Canis lupus familiaris: one gene and its partners. The protein of the gene in region 3 purifies or fractionates together with the protein of the main gene of each other region. This does not show direct contact. Links are inferred from orthologs where the notes say so. Each region holds a gene or a part of one and is shown on either strand. Other genes may lie near its edges. The genes, in order: ASAP1, EDC4, CRK, DOCK5 and NEDD9.

The links.
Region 1: the proteins of CRK (region 3) and ASAP1 purify together in Homo sapiens (affinity purification with mass spectrometry; 3 studies listed by BioGRID and IntAct, with this or other methods). This does not show direct contact. The link is inferred for Canis lupus familiaris from reciprocal best matches to the Homo sapiens genes CRK and ASAP1.
Region 2: the proteins of CRK (region 3) and EDC4 purify together in Homo sapiens (affinity purification with mass spectrometry; 3 studies listed by BioGRID and IntAct, with this or other methods). This does not show direct contact. The link is inferred for Canis lupus familiaris from reciprocal best matches to the Homo sapiens genes CRK and EDC4.
Region 4: the proteins of CRK (region 3) and DOCK5 purify together in Homo sapiens (affinity purification with mass spectrometry; 3 studies listed by BioGRID and IntAct, with this or other methods). This does not show direct contact. The link is inferred for Canis lupus familiaris from reciprocal best matches to the Homo sapiens genes CRK and DOCK5.
Region 5: the proteins of CRK (region 3) and NEDD9 purify together in Homo sapiens (affinity purification with western blotting; 3 studies listed by BioGRID). This does not show direct contact. The link is inferred for Canis lupus familiaris from reciprocal best matches to the Homo sapiens genes CRK and NEDD9.

The regions. Positions count from the first base shown.
Region 1 is NC_049234.1:27,597,389-27,601,055, reverse strand, and holds part of ASAP1 (arf-GAP with SH3 domain, ANK repeat and PH domain-containing protein 1), read left to right. Parts: intron 1-203; coding exon 204-703; intron 704-2,462; coding exon 2,463-2,585; intron 2,586-3,667. UniProt on the Homo sapiens protein: Possesses phosphatidylinositol 4,5-bisphosphate-dependent GTPase-activating protein activity for ARF1 (ADP ribosylation factor 1) and ARF5 and a lesser activity towards ARF6.
Region 2 is NC_049226.1:82,196,250-82,200,552, reverse strand, and holds the start of EDC4 (enhancer of mRNA-decapping protein 4), read left to right. Parts: upstream 1-1,463; 5' UTR 1,464-1,615; coding exon 1,616-1,700; intron 1,701-1,795; exon of another isoform or gene 1,796-1,932; intron 1,933-4,024; coding exon 4,025-4,181; intron 4,182-4,303. UniProt on the Homo sapiens protein: In the process of mRNA degradation, seems to play a role in mRNA decapping. Component of a complex containing DCP2 and DCP1A which functions in decapping of ARE-containing mRNAs. Promotes complex formation between DCP1A and DCP2.
Region 3 is NC_049230.1:45,570,804-45,574,925, forward strand, and holds the start of CRK (adapter molecule crk), read right to left. Parts: upstream 2,835-4,122; 5' UTR 2,728-2,834; coding exon 2,487-2,727; intron 1-2,486. UniProt on the Homo sapiens protein: Involved in cell branching and adhesion mediated by BCAR1-CRK-RAPGEF1 signaling and activation of RAP1.
Region 4 is NC_049246.1:32,424,844-32,429,240, reverse strand, and holds the start of DOCK5 (dedicator of cytokinesis protein 5), read left to right. Parts: upstream 1-1,572; 5' UTR 1,573-1,617; coding exon 1,618-1,660; intron 1,661-4,397. UniProt on the Homo sapiens protein: Guanine nucleotide exchange factor (GEF) for Rho and Rac. GEF proteins activate small GTPases by exchanging bound GDP for free GTP. Along with DOCK1, mediates CRK/CRKL regulation of epithelial and endothelial cell spreading and migration on type IV collagen.
Region 5 is NC_049256.1:12,338,245-12,342,542, reverse strand, and holds the start of NEDD9 (enhancer of filamentation 1), read left to right. Parts: upstream 1-1,440; 5' UTR 1,441-1,641; intron 1,642-2,248; exon of another isoform or gene 2,249-2,388; intron 2,389-4,298. UniProt on the Homo sapiens protein: Scaffolding protein which plays a central coordinating role for tyrosine-kinase-based signaling related to cell adhesion. As a focal adhesion protein, plays a role in embryonic fibroblast migration.

The DNA of each region.
Region 1 (3,667 bases), on a different chromosome or scaffold from region 3:
TTAGTTTGGACATCCTGTTCTTACGTAACTGAGGCATGAAATCGTATACGGTCCCGTGGACACCTTCTAGGCTTCCAACTTTCATCTTCTAAGAACAGGCACTCACTCTCCATCGGTCCTCCCGGTGACCGAAGGAGGGGACAGCGCTTCCCCACCTCGGGGTCCCCTCTGGTGACCTTGCTCTCTGTGGTTGCTTCCCACAGTGGCACTAAGGAAAACAGAAACCAGCCATCACCTCTCCCTAGATAAAGCCAACATCCCGCCCGAGATCTTCCAGAAGTCATCGCAGTTGGCAGAGTTACCACAGAAGCCACCACCTGGAGACCTGCCCCCGAAGCCCACAGAACTGGCTCCCAAGCCCCAAATTGGAGATTTGCCACCGAAGCCAGGAGAACTGCCCCCCAAGCCGCAGCTGGGCGACCTGCCACCCAAGCCCCAGCTGGCAGACTTACCTCCCAAGCCACAGATGAAGGACCTGCCTCCCAAACCACAGCTGGGGGACCTGCTGGTGAAACCCCAGACCGGAGATGTCTCACCCAAGGCACAGCAGCCCCCCGACGTCACGCAGAAGGCACACCCGGCGGATCTCTCCCCAAATGTGCAGTCCCGAGACGCCATCCAAAAGCAAGCATCTGAAGACTCCAATGACCTCACGCCCACTCTGCCAGAGACGCCCGTACCACTGCCCAGGAAAATCAATACGGTGGGTAGACATCAATTTTGAGGCTTTTGCAAAACCCTGCTGCTCTCCGAAACCTGGCGGGAGAGTCTGTGCCCCAGCTAACACAGAAAAATCACAAGCTTGCTCACCTAAGCTGGCTGTGGTTCAGGCATGGTGGTGGAGCAGAGTCTAGTGGTTAGGGACGCGGGTGTTGGGTGTTGGACTCCAGCCAGCGGGCTTCAGGACCCGCCCTGAGCTCCCGCTCTCCCTGTGTGACCTGGGTGCATTCCTTACCCTCTCTGAGCCCGGTCCCCTGGTACACCGGAAGGAGCTAATGCAGCCGCTGAGCTCACGGGCAGTTCGGTGCAGTGAGGGATGAGCGGCAGCCCGCACACACTTGTCTTAGAGCCTGGAGGATGATATTTCCCTTTCTTAGAATCACAGGAAGGCAGGTTCCCTCTCAGGGTTCTGAAAATCTCCCACTCAGCTCTCCCCGCATCTTCCCAGAGGAACCAGAGGCAAAGCCCAATGAGACTTGCACAAGCAGAGTTCGGCTGACACCCCACATTCCCTCCTTTTCCTGAAATGCTCTCTACAATATACCGATTTTATTTTAATATAAAAATGCTTCCCCTCCCCCCCCAAAAAAAAACACTCTTTTTTTGGGAAAGTGCCCCGGGAGCATTCAGTGTACTATCTGCACCGCCCACGGCTGCACCCCCACGGCTGAGGAGCACAGTTAGTGAGGAACCGGAAGGCCTCCCACTGCACACAGGGGATCCGCCCTCGCTCATTATAAAATCAGCATTGCGGTAAAAGTGTGTCACTTCCACACTAAGGGAAGGGCAGGAAAAACAAAGCCCGTTCTCCCTCGGGCTGGAGACCACCGCAGTCCCTATGTACGGCGGCAGATGCCTCTGCTCTTCACGGGGGCGATGTCCCAAGAGCCCAGGCACCGCCAGGCACCTCGACGTACGGGATCCCAGCACGTGCTGTGCACTTGCCAGTTGTTTTATGACCTCATTTCATCCTCCCCGTTATCAAGTATCACCTAGGGGCCATGGGCCCGAGACAACAAAGACTTGCAAGGCCTCGGTTCCTCTGCCCCACCAGCCCCACTGCTTGCGCCCCGGGAGGAACCGCAGGAGGGAGTGGGGTGACTTAGGGAGAAACCAGGGACAGAGAGAAGTCACTTGACCCAAAACATTGAGAGCCACAGCTTGCTTTTTTCTTTTTAAAAAAAAAACAAATTAATCAGTGAGGCACCAAAAACCTCCTTTGGAAGATGATTTCTCCATTCCCGTCTGTCTGCAGAGAACCAGACGTCCCGCAGATAAAAGTGCAAGTGAAAACTGATCAGAAATTAAAACATTTTGGGCAACTGCCTAGAATCCTCCCAGCCTGGGCCGCCGCCCTGTTTAACCAGCATGTGCTGACTTGGTACTTTGCATGAGGGGACTGAGAAATTTGTTTACGCTGTGCATTCAGTATGCAGAAGCTGCACATTTCTCTTTACATCATGTTTCCCAAAACCATTTTTAGACTCTGCTGTCATCTCTGCAAGCTGCTCTCGGGAGTGGGGGAGGGCAGGGTGCTTCAGGGGTTTGGGCGAGGCTGGATTTCAATCCCCACTTGCGGTTTCCTCTGTCCTGGTGTGGGGGGCACAGAGTGGGGGAGCACACAGCCCCCCGCGCTTGCCGCCCCCTCCACAGAGGAGACGTGGAGGCTCAGTGAGGGTAAATCACGGGCCCAAGGCCACTGTGTGCTTTTGTCCAGCTAAAACCCAGGTTCTTTCTTAAAGGGGAAAAACAAGGTGAGACGAGTGAAGACCATCTACGACTGCCAGGCGGACAATGACGACGAGCTCACGTTCATGGAGGGGGAAGTGATTGTCGTCACAGGGGAGGAGGACCAGGAGTGGTGGGTATGTACCAGGCCGCCTCGGGCGGGCGCCCCCGGGGACCGGGGTCCTCACTTGCCCTCCAGCGTTTTCATGGGGCGTCTTCTCTCCCCGAGTCGTGCTAGAAACGCAGGCGTGGAGCTCTGACACCGGGTTGGGAGAACGAACGTGTGCCTGTGCTTTGCCCTCGTGATCGTACAACCTGCAAGCCGCAGGCATTTCCTGCTTTTTCAGATGTGAAACTGAGGCTCGAGGTTAAGCATGTGACACAGGTCGGAGGCAGGCGGTCAGCCTTCGGAAGCATCTCTGACCTCAGAGCCCGAGTCCCCGTGTCAGGCCATCCCGGGCCAGGCATCAGGGCCGGGGGCTCCATCCTCAATCCGGCGGTTCTGCCTTTGTAAAGTGGGGCATGATACCCTCCTCCCTTGATTTTACGGGAGTAAACAGAAATATCTACAAAAATCCCTTTTACATTAAAACCTGCTGCCCGAGCGTCCTCACACAGCTTGGAGATTCTCAGCGGCTCCAAGGACAGCCCTACGCATCTGTGCTGTTGAGGCTGTCAGGATTGAGCCTCCTGTGACAAACAGCAGGCCAGAGGCACCGTGGGTGGTGGCCACCGTGGCAGGTGTCTCTCCTGGCTGGGGATGCTGCTTCCTCTCAGCCTGGGTCCCACCTGCCCGGAGGGACCCGTTCTGTGTGCTGAGGAAGGGACCTGCGGTTCACAGCTGAGCCAGCAGAGCCTGCCAGGGCCCGAAGCACAGGTGCACGCACACATGTACACACATGCAAACACACGTCTACATGCAGCAGGCATGCGTGCTCCTTTGGCTTTTCTTCCTTTGGGCCTGGAGAGCACCTCCAGACTCCTGATCACAGGTTCTGCATGGACCGAAGCAGTGGCTCAGAGGCCCGTGCAGCTTTGCCCCCCAGAGTTCCGATTGTCAGGACCTGGGAGGGTGGGTGCTCTGAGCCTCTGGCCAGTGGAAGCCAGGGGTGCTTGGGAGTGCAAGAGGACTGGCCTGCAATGTGCGCAGTGCTGCAGCCGAGACATCCCGGAGGAAGTGATGAGGCCTCTCTCTCTCTCGGGGGTGGGGGGTGGCCCG
Region 2 (4,303 bases), on a different chromosome or scaffold from region 3:
CCGAGCTGCAGACAGAGCTCAAGGCCAAGCCTGAGGCTTCCCTTGCACTCTCTAGTCAGTTCTGATGACTCCTACGTGGGGTAGGATCAGGGCTCTGGTAGTAGAGATGATCTAGAATCCCATTGAAAGGGACTCATCAGGTTCAGGTGCTCCAGACTGAGGGCTCAGCAAAACTACCATGTATAAAATGAGCAAAAGTTTGAGGGAGAGGGTCCTGTTCTACCCCAGAACAGTCAGGATCACATCCAGGGTACCCCATAAACCCCAAGCCAAGCAGAGGGCAGCTCAGGTTTTGTACTACCTGCTTTGGATATCCTTGCCCACAGAGCCAGGCCCAGTTTAGAGCTATTGAAAGTAGGCAATCTGAGTTTGAGGGATTTGTGCTCTGGGATTTCTCACCCCTCAGACCTCTGCAAGGCATCTCTAGGCCTCCTGCTTCCTCCCTCACCACACACATACTTTCACATTGTCTTCAAGTTCCAGGAAATCTTAACTCTTGGGGCAGTTAATGCTTTTCATTTTGGGGGACAGAGGCCTTCTGCTCACTGCAGAACTTGCCCTTTAGCCCTGAGACCTCTAGTGGTATAAATAAGCCTGGTGTCAAGGAAGCAACCAGAAGCTAGAACCAAACCCAGGGGTCAGGCTGGTGCCCTGTTAGGGGTTTCAGGATTGAGGAGGGTACCACAATTAGGCCTGACCTGCACTCCCCCTTCCCTCCTGCACTACAGATGGAGGCCAAGGACTTCTTCAGACCCCCCACAGGTTGCCTGGCTACACTGAGCACAGGCCTGGATGATGGATTGTTTTTAGGAGACCACAAATTCGGATTTCAGGGGGACTGATTTAGGAGGCTGGGGGTGGGGAGTGGGGGTTGGGAGAGAGGTGGATGCCTGATGCCTCTTAAACCACCCTGTGTAAAATCTGCAATACAGCTTCTTCCATGTACCTGTGCCTGAAATTTCTGCAATAAAGAGGTGTTTGTAAACTCTGGTTTCTTTATTCCTGCCTGAGGGTGTCAAGCCTGGGTGGGTAAAGGATGCTGGGGGACATTAACAATGTGACGTTCTGGTCTGACAAGCTCCCCTAGCAATTCCTGGGCTTAAGATTCCCCTGAGGCCTGGGTTGCCCTACCGTATTTCCCCAAGGGGAAACTAGGCTCCTACCAATTTAGCTTTCTCCTTGGGAGGGTCTTAAGGAGTTGATCCAGTTCCAGGCCTATCATGTTTCCGTGTTCTGGGAATGAACACAGGCTGGACAGGATGTCCTGAGCTGAATAGGGTTTTCGGCGGTCCTATACGCGCCCAATTGCCCTGAGGAACGCCCACTGACCTAGGGGTCCCGGAGGGGCGAAGCTTCCGCCCCCAGCCCGGAACCTTTCTTCTCCGTACTGCTTAGGTTCCGGGAGCCGGAGCTCCGGCGGGCCGGAAGTGGAGGCGGTTGGTGGGGCTGGTGGGGTACAGGGACGCGGCGCGGGCGGCGGTTTGCGGGCAGCGGGCGGGCCGAATCTAGCGACCCGTGTCCTGCCGTCTGGTCCCGGCAGGGCTGTGCGCGGCTGCACTGTGCGCGGCGGCGGCGAAACGAACGCGGCGCGGGAGAGGCGCCCGCGGCTGGGCCCATGGCCTCCTCCTGCGCGAGCATCGACATCGAGGACGCCACGCAGCACCTGCGGGACATCCTCAAGCTGGACCGGCCCGCGGGGGGTGAGCCGGGACAGCGGGGGTGGGCCTTCGGCGAGCGGGCCTTAGGGCGGCGCGGGCCTGGGCCGTCCTCAGTGTCCGCAGGTCCCTCAGGACCCGTGCCGCATCTTCCTGGCTGGTGAGGCAAGACGAGGGTTGGAGCCGTAAATTCCTGAGCGTGCCCCGCAAGGGTGCAGATCCCTTCCTATCCCGGGGCCGGGCCGTTCTGCCTCGCCCTTCAGCGTCTCTGCTGAAGGTGAGGTTCCTTCTCTGAATCCGCAGGGCCCCCTTGGTGTCCTGGCCCCAAGGTAGAAGCGTTCCTAGGGCTCGATCCGTATCATGGTGCCATGTAGTTCAGAGGCCTGATCAGGGCTCTGTATGCTAGTTTTGGGTCTAGACCTAAGCATTTTGCTGAGGAACCACTGGTCACCCTCTGCAACTTGCCCTTCACTCTGGAATAGACTCCAGGCCTGCTGTTCTAAAACTGATTCTTAGGAGACAGGTGACCAGCCCCAGGATGTGTCCTTTCTGAGATTAAAGCAAATCACAGATTGCATGGCCCTGATTGGATTAGGCTACAAACATCTGCAAGCCCTAGTTTATTTCCATTCATTTAAACTTGACTTGCAGTGATAACCTCAGAGTTGCTCCTACCCTTAAAGAGCTCCCAGGACTTAGAGAACTAATGCTGTTGTCATTGGGGGTGGGGGGGGGGCGTATTTTGGTACTGTGATGAAGACAGGGTAGGAGGTTAGGGCTGGATAGTGCCTGAGAACAGATCTGAGAAGACAGTGTTTAGGCTAGGTGTTAATAGTATGATATGACCAGGTGATTCAGTGTCAGGAATGGCATTCTACAAAGAAGAAATAGCATGTATGAAAGCACTGCCAAAGTTTCCTGGTAGGTTAGGGACCTGTGAAAAGCAGTGGTTGAAAGACTGGCTGGTGATGGTGGTGTGGGGTGTGCAGGGGCCACAGCTGAGAATTGGTGTTTCTTCAGACTCTGTTCTTAAACTTGCTGGGAGGCCCAAACTGGCTGCTTTTAGAAGCAGGCATTGGTGCTCACACTGGGTGGGTTTAGCTACCCCTGGTCCCCTTAGGAAAATCCATCTGCTGCGTGAAACCACTAAGTACTTTGCCCCAAACCTGGAGTGTGTGCTCGGTTTACTCGTGAGCTTGGTTGGCTTGGACCGCTCATGGTCATCAGCACTGGGCAGACTAGACTGCACAAAGATTTGGTAGAGGCTGGCATGGCCAATATTTTGCAGCTTGTTTCTTTGTCCTTATGGTAGCCTACCTTGGAAGGAGAGTGGCCAGCTTACTCCTGAGCAGCTAAAGTGGCTCTGATCCAAGTGAAGTGGCTTGGAGGCTTTCCACTTAATATCTTACGTATTGATTGGTATTTAATTGCCCCATTTACCAATTAGCTCTTGCTTGTCTCCTCTGGAGGCACTGGAGGACCATGTTAGATGCCAGTGTGGGGGCCTAGTCTCCTTGTCATCTGGGAGTTTTAGGGTGGTATCTGAGCCTATAAGGGTGCTTGAAATAGCCAGTGGCAAACAACTGAAATCCTTTCTTTCCTGACTACACACCCTATCCTAGAGTTGCTCTCCACTTTGTCCAACCCCTTTGTGTCCATTCCTTCTGAGTTTACCTGCCCAAGGTGGCTTCTTCTGAACCATTTCTTTGAGGGGCAGGTTTCTTTCTTTCTTATTCCCACATCTTATCAGTGTTCTTTCATGCCTTAGAAGCCCATCTTCCTTTCTATATCATCTACCACTATCTTGGTCTAGGTTCTTAAATTATATCCTACATGCTGCTTTAGAGCAGTCATTCTTTTGGCCATAGCAGACCATGTCACCTTTCCATTTAAAACTCTGTGTGGCTCTCTGCGCTACAGGGAAAATTTAAGCACCTAAGCTTCATATCTGAGACCTCTATGGCTTGTCTTCCCTCCATCTTTCCTATACTTGTGTGTGCCAGCCTTACTGGCTCTGATGTACCTCCTTTATGAAGTCTGTCCTGACCCTTTCCATGCCTTCTCTTGAGTACAGAGTCCCTTTGTACTGACCCAGGCCTAAATATTAATTGGCTGCATGGGATTCTTGATGGCTTTACTCCTCCCTCAGGCAGAAGAGCCACATGCATGTCTTTGGTCCTGGCAGGCATTGGGATAACTATCAGTATTGATGGAACAAAAGATGAACCAAGAGTCCTCCTCCCCTCAGACATGGCTCCCTCAGTTGAATGTTCCCAGAGCACCTCATGGCTTTTGAATGAAGTTCGGCAAGAGGAAAGGCCAATGGGCAGGTGGAACAGCCTCATCAGAGTAGACCTTTCTATCCCCAGGTCCCAGTGCAGAGAGCCAGCGGTCATCTAATGCCTACAATGGGGATCTCAATGGGCTTCTTGTCCCAGACCCCCTCTGCTCAGGTGATGGTACTTCAACAAACAAGCCTGGTCTCCGGGCCATGCCACCTATTAACCTTCAGGAAAAGCAGGTCATGTGAGTGTCTGGGAAATGGCAATGATGGTATTGGGGTCTTTGGGGTGGTGCACTTAATCACATATTTGTGTTAGGATGAGGCTCAAGGACAAGCTCAAGAGCTTGGCCTGGATCCAAAGTTT
Region 3 (4,122 bases):
CCTCACCTATAAAATGAAAATATTTTAGTAAATAGAGATTACAGTATTTCTCACCAGATTGTTATAGACAGAAAATGAGACAAGGCACAGAAAGTACTCAGCAAAGTACTTGGCACAGAATAACCAGTCAATAAATGTTAGCTATTAATACTCTACACGCTTTTCTAAAATTAAAGAAATTCCTCTGTATAGTTTCAAAAAGAAAAGAGCTTGACGGGGAAGCAAGGAGAACAAAGACTAAGTAACCTTTATAAAGACAGCAACTCAATCAATTGCTCTATGTGAAAAACTGGGCACATTACCAGAAACAAGAATTAACACAATGCCTGTGAACTTTCCACACCCCATCCACAAACTCTGGCAATCTTCACCTTCTCTCTTGAGCCAAGGATTTGAACTCCTATCTGTTATGAAAAGGTGGAGCTCAATATCAAGGTAAGCGCAGAGATATAAAGTCATAACACAAAGGTGTGTAGAAAGCTCAAACCAGCAAACCTGCCTGTTGTCATCTCCAAATTTTGCAAAACGCATACATAAAAGGTTGAAAACTGGGGGTGCAGGAGGTTGAAAATTGAATTTCAGTGACAGTTTGACATATTACTGCACTGTAATGCACAACCCTAGATACCAAGAAGGTGGTGAAAAAGCACAACATAGGGATCCCTGGGTGGCGCAGCGGTTTGGCGCCTGCCTTTGGCCCAGGGCGCGATCCTGGAGACCCGGGATCGAATCCCACATCGGGCTCCCGGTGCATGGAGCCTGCTTCTCCCTCTGCCTATGTCTCTGCCTCTCTCTCTCTCTCTCTCTGTGACTATCATAAATAAATAAAAATTAAAAAAAAAAAAAAAAAAAAAGGAAAAGCACAACATATCGGGTTTAGGGCAAATTTATGTTCTATCAATATTCCTGTCTCATGTTATGCTATTAAACCAAACAGACTGGGACGTGCCTGGGTGGCTTAGCGGTTGAGTGACTGCCTTCACCTCAGGGCATGATCCTGGGTCTGGGGATTGAGTCCTGCATCGGGCTCCCAGCGAGAAGTCTGCTTCTCCCTCTGCCTGTGTCTTTCATAGATAGATAGATAGATAGATAGACAGATGATAGATAGATAAATAAAATCTTAAAATAAAAATTAAACCAAGCAGACTGAGAAGACCTAGGATACTTCCTGGATTTAAAGATCTCATACTCTTCCTATAATTGATACGTGTTAGCAACAGAGACTGACTATCCCATCTCCCTATTTCTGGCCAGAGTGAATGAATCTAAATTAGGACTATCCCTAAAGGGCAAGTTTGCAAAGGCTGGCTCAGGAGGCTCCTAATTCTTATGAGACTGGCCTGGAGCTAGCCTCAGCTGGTCAGAAGAAAACTGCTTCAATTTGAAAAATGAGAAAGACTACAACTCTTGGTGCTGTTACACAGATGATGGTAATCTGACAATAACCTCAGAATTACTCTGTATTTCACAAATCTCAAGTACTAAGTGCATGAACCTCCTTAACATTCTCCAAACAGCTCTAAAGGCGTAAGTAGGACAGTCACATCTCAGTGATCCTTGGTTAAGAAAGAAAAGGGCCACAGCCCCAACTTACTGAGCAAGAGGCCCTGACATATGACATTGACAATGCTTAAGTCCAATGAAATTGGAAGTTCCATTCACTTCCAAGGAAGGGACTGTTTCCACTGGCTTATTTCCTGGGAGGGGTGTGGGGGCATAGAATCTGTCCTCCACAAAATACCCTGAAAACTAGAACCCTCTAATTGTGGAAAAGAGTCTCTGGACGCCAAGATCTCTTGGACACGGTCAGCTGGACATCAACTTGTTCTGGGCTGATCACAGAGGGCTTACTTCTGTCACCAAGGCACTTAGCTCACCACCTTCGTCCTCCGCGGGGGAAGAGGACAGTAAAAGTATTTTGGAAAGATGCCCAAGAAAGGAAAAAGCTGACCGGTTTCCTGAGGGTGTCTCCATCCCTCCGGGCTAGTATGTGGTGACTTCCTATCAAAGGCCAGCAGGGGAGAATAGCTCTCCAAACCAAACCCGGCTCTCTAACAGTACAGGAAATGTTTCAAGCCTAAAAAGCCACTTGTAGGATTATCGAATTCATCCTGGGAACCGCTGCCAAGTGATGCCCCCGCAGTGCCAATATCCCCCTCCGCTCTTTGTCCCCACGTTGCCCGCCCTGCCCTAGTGCCTGGCCCCGGCGCTAGCCCCACCCTGGGGCCGAAGCAGTTCCCCTTCCCCTGGGCTGTCCTCCCAAGTCACACCCAGAGGCCTGGGTCAGCGGCTCCTCCTCCACACACACACAACCGCCAGTGGTGGGAACGAGCCCGGGCACCAAGGTACCCCCATGCCAGGGTCGCTCCAGCCCTCTGCCCACGTCCCTCGTGGAGGCTAGCTCGCGAGGGGCAGCCGGTCAGGCTGGCGAGTTCCGCGGCCCTCACCCCGCCCGGGGCCTCCCGTCCCGTCCCGTCCGTCCTCACCGGGCGGAGGCTGGGCGGGCGACGGTGGCACAGACGGGCGCGGGCCGCTGCTGTTGATGATGTAGTGGGAGACGCGCGAGTTCTCCGAGACGCTGAGCACATAGTCCCCGGGGCTGGTGCTCGAGTCCCGCACCAGAAACACCCCGTGCCGCTGGCCCTGCAACAGCGCCACCGCCTCCTGCCGGCTCAACCGCCCCCAGTACCAGCTACTCCGCTCCTCCGAGTCGAAGTTGCCCGCCATGGCCGCCTCCGCGCCTACACGCTGGGCCGCCGCCGGCACGCGCGCCCCTCCTGCCCCGGCGCCCGCCGCCCAGCGGACCGGCTCGGGTCTCAGCTTCACAGCAGTGCCCGAAATGGCGGCGGCGGCCGCGGGCCTTCCCCACCGGAAATGACGCGCACCTTGCCCCCGCGAGGATGCCGGGAAGGGGACCGCAACCCGCCATGGGGAGAAGGGCAAAGGACAGCTCGGGTGCGCACTGCGCATGCGCCGCCGTGTGCGTCGCCGCCTGGCGGGGATCGGGACTGCAGGGGATGGAGGGGCCAAGTCCAGGGCCGGTGGTAGGGGCTCAGCGAGGAGTCGGCGGAGGTTTGTGTTTGCGGTTTTGGCCACGCGGCTCCAGGGTTCGAGTTCCTGGAAGGCCCGGGAATTCTAGGCAGCAACTCCGAGACACAGTTGGACTACAAAAGATGTATGTGGCCTCAGGGCCTGAGCTCCTGGAGACTTTGGTCCTTTTCTGGTGGTTCCTCCATCTTCTCTCTAGACTGGCTTAAGTATTTTGTTTGCACTGATTGACTCAGCAGTTACTGACACCACATTTGCTCTGTGGGTGCAAAGGTGATCAAGGTTTGGGCCCTGACCTCACAGAATTCACAGACCAGTGGGAGGAAGCAGGAACAATGACAAAGGAATTCCAAGCACTGTGAGAGGGAACCAACCAGGAGCTCCAGCCCAGTCTGTAAAGGGATTCAGTCCTCCACCTACCAGAGGAGGTGGCTTGAGCTGAATGTTGAATGGCCAGTAGGGGAAGAGCATGCAAGACAGAGAGAGCAGAATGTGCCAAGCCAGGAGTTCTCTGGATTGAGTCTTTCAAGTCATTTGCCCAGATTCTTCTAAACACTAGTCGTGGCCAGGGGTATCCTCTATTCTCCTTACTATCATGATCTCTGTCTCTGTATTCCATATCTGTATCTGTATTCCTGTGAACAGCCTGTTCACTGGTGCCCTATAGACTTGCTGCTCTAAGTACATTGCACACATCTGACAGTGTGTGCTTTCTAAATTACAACTCTAAGACTGTTCCTACCCTGTGCACAACTTTTAACAGTCTCCAGAACTGGGACGCCTGAGTGGCTCAGTGGTTGAGCATCTGCCTCTGGCTCAGGGGGTGATTCTGGGATGTGGGATCGCATCCCACATCAGGCTCCTTGCAGGGAGCCTCCTTCTCCCTCTGCCTACATCTCTGCCTCTCTCTGTGTCTCTCATGAATAAATAAATAAATAAAATCTTAAAAAAACAAACAAACAACAGTCTCCAGAACTTAAAATTCCCAGTTTAGGTCACAGCATAAAATGAGGTCACAGTGTCCTCTTAACAGCTCCTACATGAACCTTGTGTTTCTTTTTTCTGGAATACCCT
Region 4 (4,397 bases), on a different chromosome or scaffold from region 3:
AGACTGCAAGGACAAAACGGTTTCTTTTGAGAGGTATTTTCTGGAATCGTGAACATAAATCGGCTGGTCATTTACTCTGAGATTTTATTTCTATGGGTAAGGTAGCAAAGCATCCCTCCCCTCCACCGGGCAGCACAGGCGTCTCTAATCCCATCTTCAGTCCTGAGGTCTCTCCAGGAGCAAGTGAGATCCTGGAGGGCGTTCGGAGGGCTCCAACAGCAGTCTTCTGCAGTTCAGAAGAGCAGGCTTTGCTTTTGGCTGCTGGTCAAAACCATACAGTGAAGGAGAGATGACTCGGATGTGTCCTGTCCCCCTCTCCGCAGGGATGCTCTTTAGGCTGCTGGTCTTTTGGAAAAGGCGGTTGGGGGGGGTGTGTGTCTTGGGGCGAACTTCTCCCTTGATCATAGGGGCCCTCAATCTCTTCACTTGGGGAGGAGTCCCGGTGTTTGGGGTGGGGGTGGGGTGGGGGTACAGGATTTCCAAGTTAAGGCTCTCTAAACTCTAAAGAATTTCCCCAACGGAGCTCCCCGAGGAGACGGACCTTTCTGGGGTGCACATCGCCCCCCCCCCCCCCCGCACCAGGTCTCTATTTACCCGAAGACGAATGCGCCTGCTTTGAAAGCTCTAAACGTTATATGGTCTCATTCATTTGGGGGAATCTAAAAATCAGTGAAAGGGAATACAGGGGAAAGGAGAGAAAATGAGTTGAAAATATCAGTGAGGGTGACAAAACAGGAGAGACTCCTAAGTCTGGGAAACGAACAAGGGGTCGTGGAAGGGGAGGTGGGTGGAGGGATGGGGGTGACCGGGTGACGGGCACTGAGGGGGGCACTTGATGGGATGAGCACTGGGTGTTATGCTGTATGTTGGCAAACTGAACTCCAATTAAAAAAATTTTTTTTTAAAGAGAAGGAAAGCATTAAAGGGTGGCCCCGGGAGAGCCTGTGGGCCCTGGAGTCCTTCCGGCTCTCTCTCTCTCTCTCTCTCTCTCTCTCTCTCTCTCTCTCTCTCTCTCGGTCAGTGAAAGCTGCAGGGGGTGAGCGCAGCGTCAGCTGCTCATTCATTCAACAAATATTTACTGAGCGCCTGCTGAGTGCCAGGCACTGGGGGGCCCGGGGCGAGGAGCGACCTGGGACTTGATCCTGGGCCCCCCGGGGGCGCGGTGGGCGCGCCTCTGCTCCCCCGGGGTGCGCCGCCACCTCCAGGGACGCCCCGGGCTCCAGCCTGGAGGGTCTCACGGGGGACGAAGGGAAGGCGGCGGAGGGCGCAACAGTAAAACGAAAAAGCCGGAGCCGGTGGGCCCCGGGGCGCCGCTCCCGGGGAGCGCGCGAGGCGGGGCGGGGGAGCGCGGAGCGCGGAGCCCCGGGCGCGGAGGCGGCCCCGGCGGGCGGAGGGCGCGGCCGGCGGGAGGGGCCGGGGCGGCGCCGGGAGGGCCCAGCAGGTGACCGGCGGCCCGGCAGAGCCCCAGCGAGTCCCGCGCGCGCGGGCGGCGAAGTTTGCCGGAACATGGCGGAGGAGCCCGGGGCGCGCGGGAGCGGGGCGCGGCGGCGGCCGGGGCCCCGGGAGCTGTAGCCGCCGCAGCCGCAGCCGCCGCCGCCGCGGGGCGAGGTCGCCGCCATGGCCCGCTGGATCCCGACCAAGAGGCAGAAGTACGGGGTCGGTGAGTGCTCGCCCGAAGTTCGCGGGAGCGGCCCTGCCCCGCGGCGGAGGCTCCCCCCGGGCCCCCCGCGCCCCCCGCCCCCAGGGCGCAGGCGGCGCTGCCCGGCCGGGACGTCGCCCCCGGGGTGGGGAGTCTCAGCGCCCCCCGAAACGGCACTGGGGCTCCGGGACCCGAAGCCCCGGCGCCGTGCACGGTGCAAACGTCAAAAGCGAGCGCTCGCCCGCGGGGGTGTGGGGCGCGGGCCCGGGGCTCCCCCTTCTCCGCCCCAGCCTTGCGGATCCGTGGAGTGGTTTGTCCGCTCGCGGACCCGGGGCTTCTGCGTGCCGTCTGCTGGGCTCCCCAAGTGAGGTCCCCAAGTGAGGTGTGCGGGGGAGGGGGTAGGACGGCGCCCCCTTCCTCCAGGGACTGGGATGCCGGTAACAGTTGTAAAGTGAATGGGACACTCAAGCCGTGGGGTGGGGGTGATGGAGACGGAGGAGACGGCGAGCGGGCTGGGGGCGCGGACGCGCGCGTCCCTAACCGAGCGTGCCTAAAGGCGCCTACGACCGCCCTGCGAGGCCGCAGTTCCGTCCTGGGGCAGATAACGTGAGGATTTTTTTTTTTTTTTTTTTAAGATTTTCTTTATTCATTCATGAGAGGCACAGAGAGAGGAGAGAGAGAGGCAGAGGGAGAAGCAGGCTCCATCCATGCAGGGAGCCCATGCGGGACTCGATCCCGGGACTCCAGGATCAGGCCCTGGCCCGAAGGCAGGCGCTAAACCCCCCGAGCCACCCAGGGATCCCCACAGGAGCATATTTTGTTAAGGAACCTGTGGCAGGTCCTGGCCAGGCACTGGGCTTTCCTAAAGGTGGTGCTCCAGAGCCCCCACCACCCGCGGAGGGGTGGCTGTTGTGTTGTTGGGGACCCGAAAGCCTGGCTGTGCCTGGTTTTGACCCAGGTGGAAAACCGCGGTCCTTGCACCTGGTGTGTGTGTGTGTGTGTGTGTGTGTGTGTGAGTGTGCGTGTGCGCGCGCGTGCTGAGGTCTCTTGGAAAGACTGCCCTGAGCCGGGCCATCCCTGGGGCAGGTGGACTTCCGAGCGGTTCCCTAGAATAAACACAGTTGTGTGTGTGGAGCATTTTATCACTTCCTCCCAGGTTCATTCATTCGGTCCATCTGTAATGTAATCTTTTATTTTACTCGCTTTCCCGGGCCCCATTTTTCCTTACCGCTTCAGTTAGTAGGGAGGGAGGGATCCCTGCAGCGCTTCTGTGCTTTCTGACACACTGAAGTCCTCTTGGGATACTCTTTAAACAACCTCCTCTAGGTGCTTTTCGACTCTGTAACCACAGAGTCCGTTAAAAACCCAACAACAAAACCCTTTCACATTTAAAATAGTATCTTAATTGTGACCCTTTCTGTGTATATGTAGCTGTATATGTGATATGTACTGTGTATATGTAATTCCTTGTTGCCCCCCTATTCCAAAAAACTTGTTTCCTCTTAAATTTCCTTTAGAATCCTTGCACTCTCTTGTGGCAGCAACTCAGAAATGAGTGTTTCTTCTGACCCACAGTATCTGGTCAGAATTTGGTCCTGAGGCTTCAGGCAGGTGCCAGTGAGTAGCCAGTAGTTATGGAAGGAAAATGGTCTGTGATAGATGGAATCGATTTATTTTTGAGCATTACAGAGTACTACTAAATTAAAGCATAATTAGCAATGCCTGCTCATTAGTTACTATTTACAAAGATAGCAGTTTTGATTTTGTTTCTAACAGGATCCAACACTATGACTTTCATGTAGTTAATGCCAAGCATACCCCTCAAATGTGGTTTTAATTACCATAGTCATAGGAGCAAGTGTGACATGTTTTCTTTTCAGTAATACTACCCCCCCCCCCCATTCTGGAATCAGGTTACCATGTTATTTATCAGCAGTCAAGAAAAGCATTTGAAATGCATTTCCAGGGCATAGGTGGTAGCAAAACTGCCCCAGGATATAATTTGGCACACTTATTTTACTAGACACAATAGATTTTGATTAATCTTGGCTTGACAAAAGGACCCACTGTTAGGACAGATTAGCTGAGGAGATAAATCACCATTGTTTATTCCTAAAACTCTCTGTTGTTCTCAGTGCCTCCCGCTTGGAAGCCTTCCTTGGCCTACCGGGGTAAAGTCTAAATTGAGCCCAACTTTCAAGGTTATGATAATCTGGTTCGACCTGTCTCCACCAACTTTATCTCTCCTGGCTTCTTTCATTAACTTACCAGGGCAGACACTGCCCTTCTCTGCTCTTGTGCAACATGCAATGAAGAGGTTCTCCCTTTGGGACTTTGCTCCCAGAGTGCCCTCCCAGTTCTGTATCATCTCCAATCCAGCCTATTCCTCGGGGGGCTCAGATGCATTTGCATTGCTTCCCCAGATTTGGTATGAACCGGACCTTCTTCCCAAACCCGTATGCCTCTCCTCACAATCACTACATTGTGCCACACTTTGTTACTTATCCTTTTATCCTTGGGTTCACTGAATCAGGTTATGGTTCTGTATCCCTGTCATGATACCAGGTAGAGAGCCTGTATTCAGTAACTGCTTGTCCTTGCTGTTGAGGTGACACTCTAAAGCCTTAACCTCATTTCCATGATGATTTAATGCAGTTCCTCTCCCCACCCCCCCACCCCCATTCACCACAGTATGAGTTTTATTTTGTTTGGTTAAATGTGCGTAGTGAGAGCCTTCGGTGTCTTTATTTCTTTGCAA
Region 5 (4,298 bases), on a different chromosome or scaffold from region 3:
TTGCTAATTACACCTATGGATACAACATGTGTATGAAGATTGCCATAGATATTCTTCTTATTGATTTATTTATAAATCCTAATTACACAAGGCTTTGAGCTGAGGGTTTGTTTCTTTGTTTAAATGTGGCATCTTGGGGATCCCTGGGTGACTCAGTGGTTTAGTGTCTGCCTTCAGCCCAGGGCGTGATCCCGGGGTCCTGGGATCAAGTCCCACATCAGGCTCCCTGCATGGAGCCTGCTTCTCCCTCTGCCTGTGTCTCTGCCTCTCTCTCTCTCTCTCTCTCTCTCTCGTGAATAAATAAATAAAATCTTTAAAAATAAATAAATAAATGTGGCATCTGCTTATGGGCAAGTATTTCCTTAATATGATTCAGACCAGCTCGACATTTAAAATAAATGACATGGATCTGAATTTCAGAGAGGATTACAGAAAATTCAAACAAAACAAAATGACAATAACAAAACAGAAGTTGCCGGTATGCAATATACAGCAGGAACAGAGGGCGAGGATGAAGGGAGGGCCGAGGACAGTGCTTTACTTGTCTTGATACTAGAGCAAACAGGAGCATCCCATGCCACTTTTGTTCAAACCGTCTCCCTCTCTCCTCCATCCTCTCTGTCCCCCAGTCATTTCTAGGCATCAGCAAGGGATAAGGAGGGGGAAGAGAAGGCAAAAAAAGCAAAGAACTGAGCTCATAATAATAACATTTGCCACTAATGATAATAGCAAACACTCATATACTTGTGGCAGCCACTCCTTGAGTGCTTTACATGTAACGCCTCACTTAATTCCCACAACAATCCTATGACTACTCCCATTTTACAGATGAGGAAGCTGAGTCACAGAAAGATCAAAAGCATTTAAAGGCAAGCACCAGGTGGTTAGCTTCAGACCATACCACTTGGGTGCTACTCCAAAGCACACAGCAAGAAGACAAAAGGTCTGAGACTAAGTAGCTGGCAAATTCCCTTCCAAATGCACAGTCTCCAGTTCTATACCACCCTGGAAATGGGAATTCTCCATGTGGGTACCCAAAGGCTAGCAGGTACCACATAGACTCAATAAATACTGGTTAAATGAAAAGATGTTTCATGTCAATCTATAGTGGAACTCTTTAGAATACATTAAGTCCATAAAAACCACAAAAACCTGAATTTGGTGGACTTACAATAGCCCAATGTCTGCTTCCATGCAGCCTAGGAAGGAGCTTATGGCACTCCCCTGAATTTCATCGTGATAATAAAGATCACCTCTTGTTAAAGTAGCAAGCAGTCCAGATCAGAGCTAGACTTCTCACCTGTCCCTAAACTACAGATCACCCTCAGTGTATCAGAAAAAAAAAAAAAAAAAAAAACCAACTGTGGCACAGAGAGGAAATGAACCGAGACAACATCACTTGCAGCAACCGGAAGGAAAAACACACGTAGGGACGCCACTCACATTCTACGTGTGTGGTTGCCCAGTAGGGAAATGCTTGCAGCTGCCTTTAGAAGCAAGTCTGGTGGCTGCAGCAAGAGAGAAGCAGGATCATGAGGCGGGACTGAGCCGTCACCTCCCGCCTGCCTGGCCAGAGAGAGAGAGAGAGGGCCAGAACATCAGGGAAGACCAGATGAGCCAGCACCAGTGGGCCTGCCCCGGGTGAGTCCCCAGACACTCACTGTGGCCTGGGGGGGTGGGGAGACTCACTCACACTCGGACTTCCTGAGTTGGTGTCAGACATCTGTTAGTGCTCCCCACTGCCGACACCCCTTGACTGGAGCCAAGAGGGACTCAATGGCCCCAAGCAGGGAAGAGTGACTCCAGGTTTCTTTCCAGTTGACCTGCAGGCAGGGGCTTGCATGCAACCCCAAACCTACACGATTGATTCTAGCCTTGAAATCAACCTGGGTAGGTGCTTCCTGGTCTAGAAGCTGGGCGGCTCCTCCCCTCTTGCTGCCCTCCTCAGAGAGCTTACCTAGGATTACCTTATGCTTTGGCTTCTCTGACACCATTTCAGGGCTTCCAGGTGTGGGCTGTCACTTAAACCTTATGGTGGATGTGAGTCATTTCTAATGCCATTTCAGCCCCTCTGGGAATGACCCCTGAGGAGCAGGAAACCATGATTGAGAACTGGAGTCGTGTCCAGCTCTGCAGAGACCCCATCATTAGCATCATGTCTAAGGGCTTGGGGACAAATTGCACTGTGTTCTACTTGTCCACACCCGGCCCCCCCAACAGCTTTGTCCTTCCTTCTCTCAATACTTACTAAGTCACGCGTAACTCATTCATTCATTCGATTGCCTTTCTTCCACAAAGGGTTTGAGGCAGCCTTTTTATCTTGCTGAAATTCTTTCAGAATGAAGGAAACGTACAATGTAAAAGGGCTAAAGCCATTTCTAAAAGGGTTACATGTTGTTCAAACTGTGTGGACATGGGTGAGCTGTTTATATTTTTCCCTGTGCCAGTGGTGAGAGCTGGGAGTGGGTTCTCTGGTCTTCTCTCCCCCCCGAAGCTGGTTCCCACCCAGGAGTGAGTTCAAAGAGCAGTTGCCCATGACAGAGCTCTGGGAACCAGCCAGATGGTTTTCAACCTTGTTTCTGTTTCCTTCCATGCTTGGGAGGAAATTCCGCCCAATTTTCAAGGACATTCCTGTTTTAAGAATAGGGCAAAGGGGAGCCGAGGAGAGAGAAGGATGTGAAATCAGCCTTGAGGTGGAGTTCCATTTCTCATTCATTAGTTAATTCACGTATTTAACACCTATCTCGTGAGTATTCACTGTGTGGCAGCTGCGTTTAAGTCCAAACTTAACATTAGATGGAGCAAAATTGATGTTGTCCCGCTTCCAAAAAGCTTACGGTCCAGGGGAGAAGCAGACGTTAATTACTAATTACACAAATGTGATAATGATCAGAACATATTGTGGGGGAAGCTGATCTCATCTGAAAGGCAGGGAGGTTTCCAGAAGGAGGGGGGAGACTAGAACTGAAAAAGGCGTAGGAGTGCACAAGGCTACGCTCCAGGTAGAGGGAACAGTGGAGACCACTTCCTGAGGTAGGAGACCACAGAATCACCTGGCAAAACCAAGGCCAGTGCAGCAGGAGGGAAGTGGGGAGTGGCTCAAAATGAGCCCAGAGGCCCAGCAGAGAAGGTGCTGCTTACTCTAAAAGCCATGGAGAAGGTAGAGGTGTTGTGGTCAGATTGATCTGCATTCTTAAGAAATCCCTTTTGATAGGTTTGGAGAATGGATGGGAGGGGGCTACACCTATGGGCAGGGAGACCAATGAGAAGGTGGATGGAGTCAGCCAAGCAAGAGTATCTATGTGAGTATGGCTAAGAGAGATGGCAGCGGAGAGAGGACTGCACAAAGTTAAAAGTCATTTAGAAAGGAAAATCGACAGTGCTTGGTGGTAGACAGAAAAGGGGAGTTGGGAGGGAAAGTATCCAAGACAACCCCCAGTTCCTGGTTTGCACATCCAAGTGGATGCTGATGCTCCTTGGCGATCACAGAGACTGGCGAAGCTGGTCGGGACCAGGCCAGGGTTGGTTCAGTTCTAGAATCGATCCAGTGGTAGATGTCAGCCAGCCGGTTGACACTGACCAATATTTAGAGCTCTGAGCAGAGGTCTGGGGATCCTAGGCGTGGGGTTGGTAAGTGTAGCCGTGGGTACGGGTGACCTGCAGGAAAGTGTTGAGTGAGAAAGCAGGAGAGTGGCTTAGAATTGAACCTCAAGGAAGAAGCACCTGGGGGGCTCAGTCACTTAAGCGTCTGGCTCTTGATTTAGGCTCAGATCATAATCTCAGGTTCATGGGATCAAGTCCTGTGTAGGGCGTGCTCAGCATGGAGTCTGCCTAGGATTCTCTCTTCCTCTCCCATCCCCCTCCCCACTGCTTGTGCTCTCTCTCTCTCTCTCTTAAATAAATACAATCTAACAAAAAAAAGAAGAAAGAAAAAGAAAGAAAGAAAGAAAGAAAGAAAGAAGAAAAAAGAATTGAATCTCAAGAAATTCTAACTTTTTTTTAAAAAGAGCCTATCTTTATTCATTCATGAGAGACACAGAGAGAGAGGCCGAGACATAGGCAGAGAGAGAAGCAGGCTCCCTGTGGGGAGCCCGATGTGGGACTCAATCCCAGGACCCCGGGATCATGACCTGAGTCAAAGGCAGATACTCCTTTGAGCCACTGAGCCACCCAGGTGTCCCAAATTCTAACATTTAAATAGAGGAGAAGGGTCCCTCCAAAAAGAGTAGGATGGTTCCTCGAAAAGTTAAATACAAAATTATCACACATGGCCCGGCAAGTCTACTCCTACTTATACA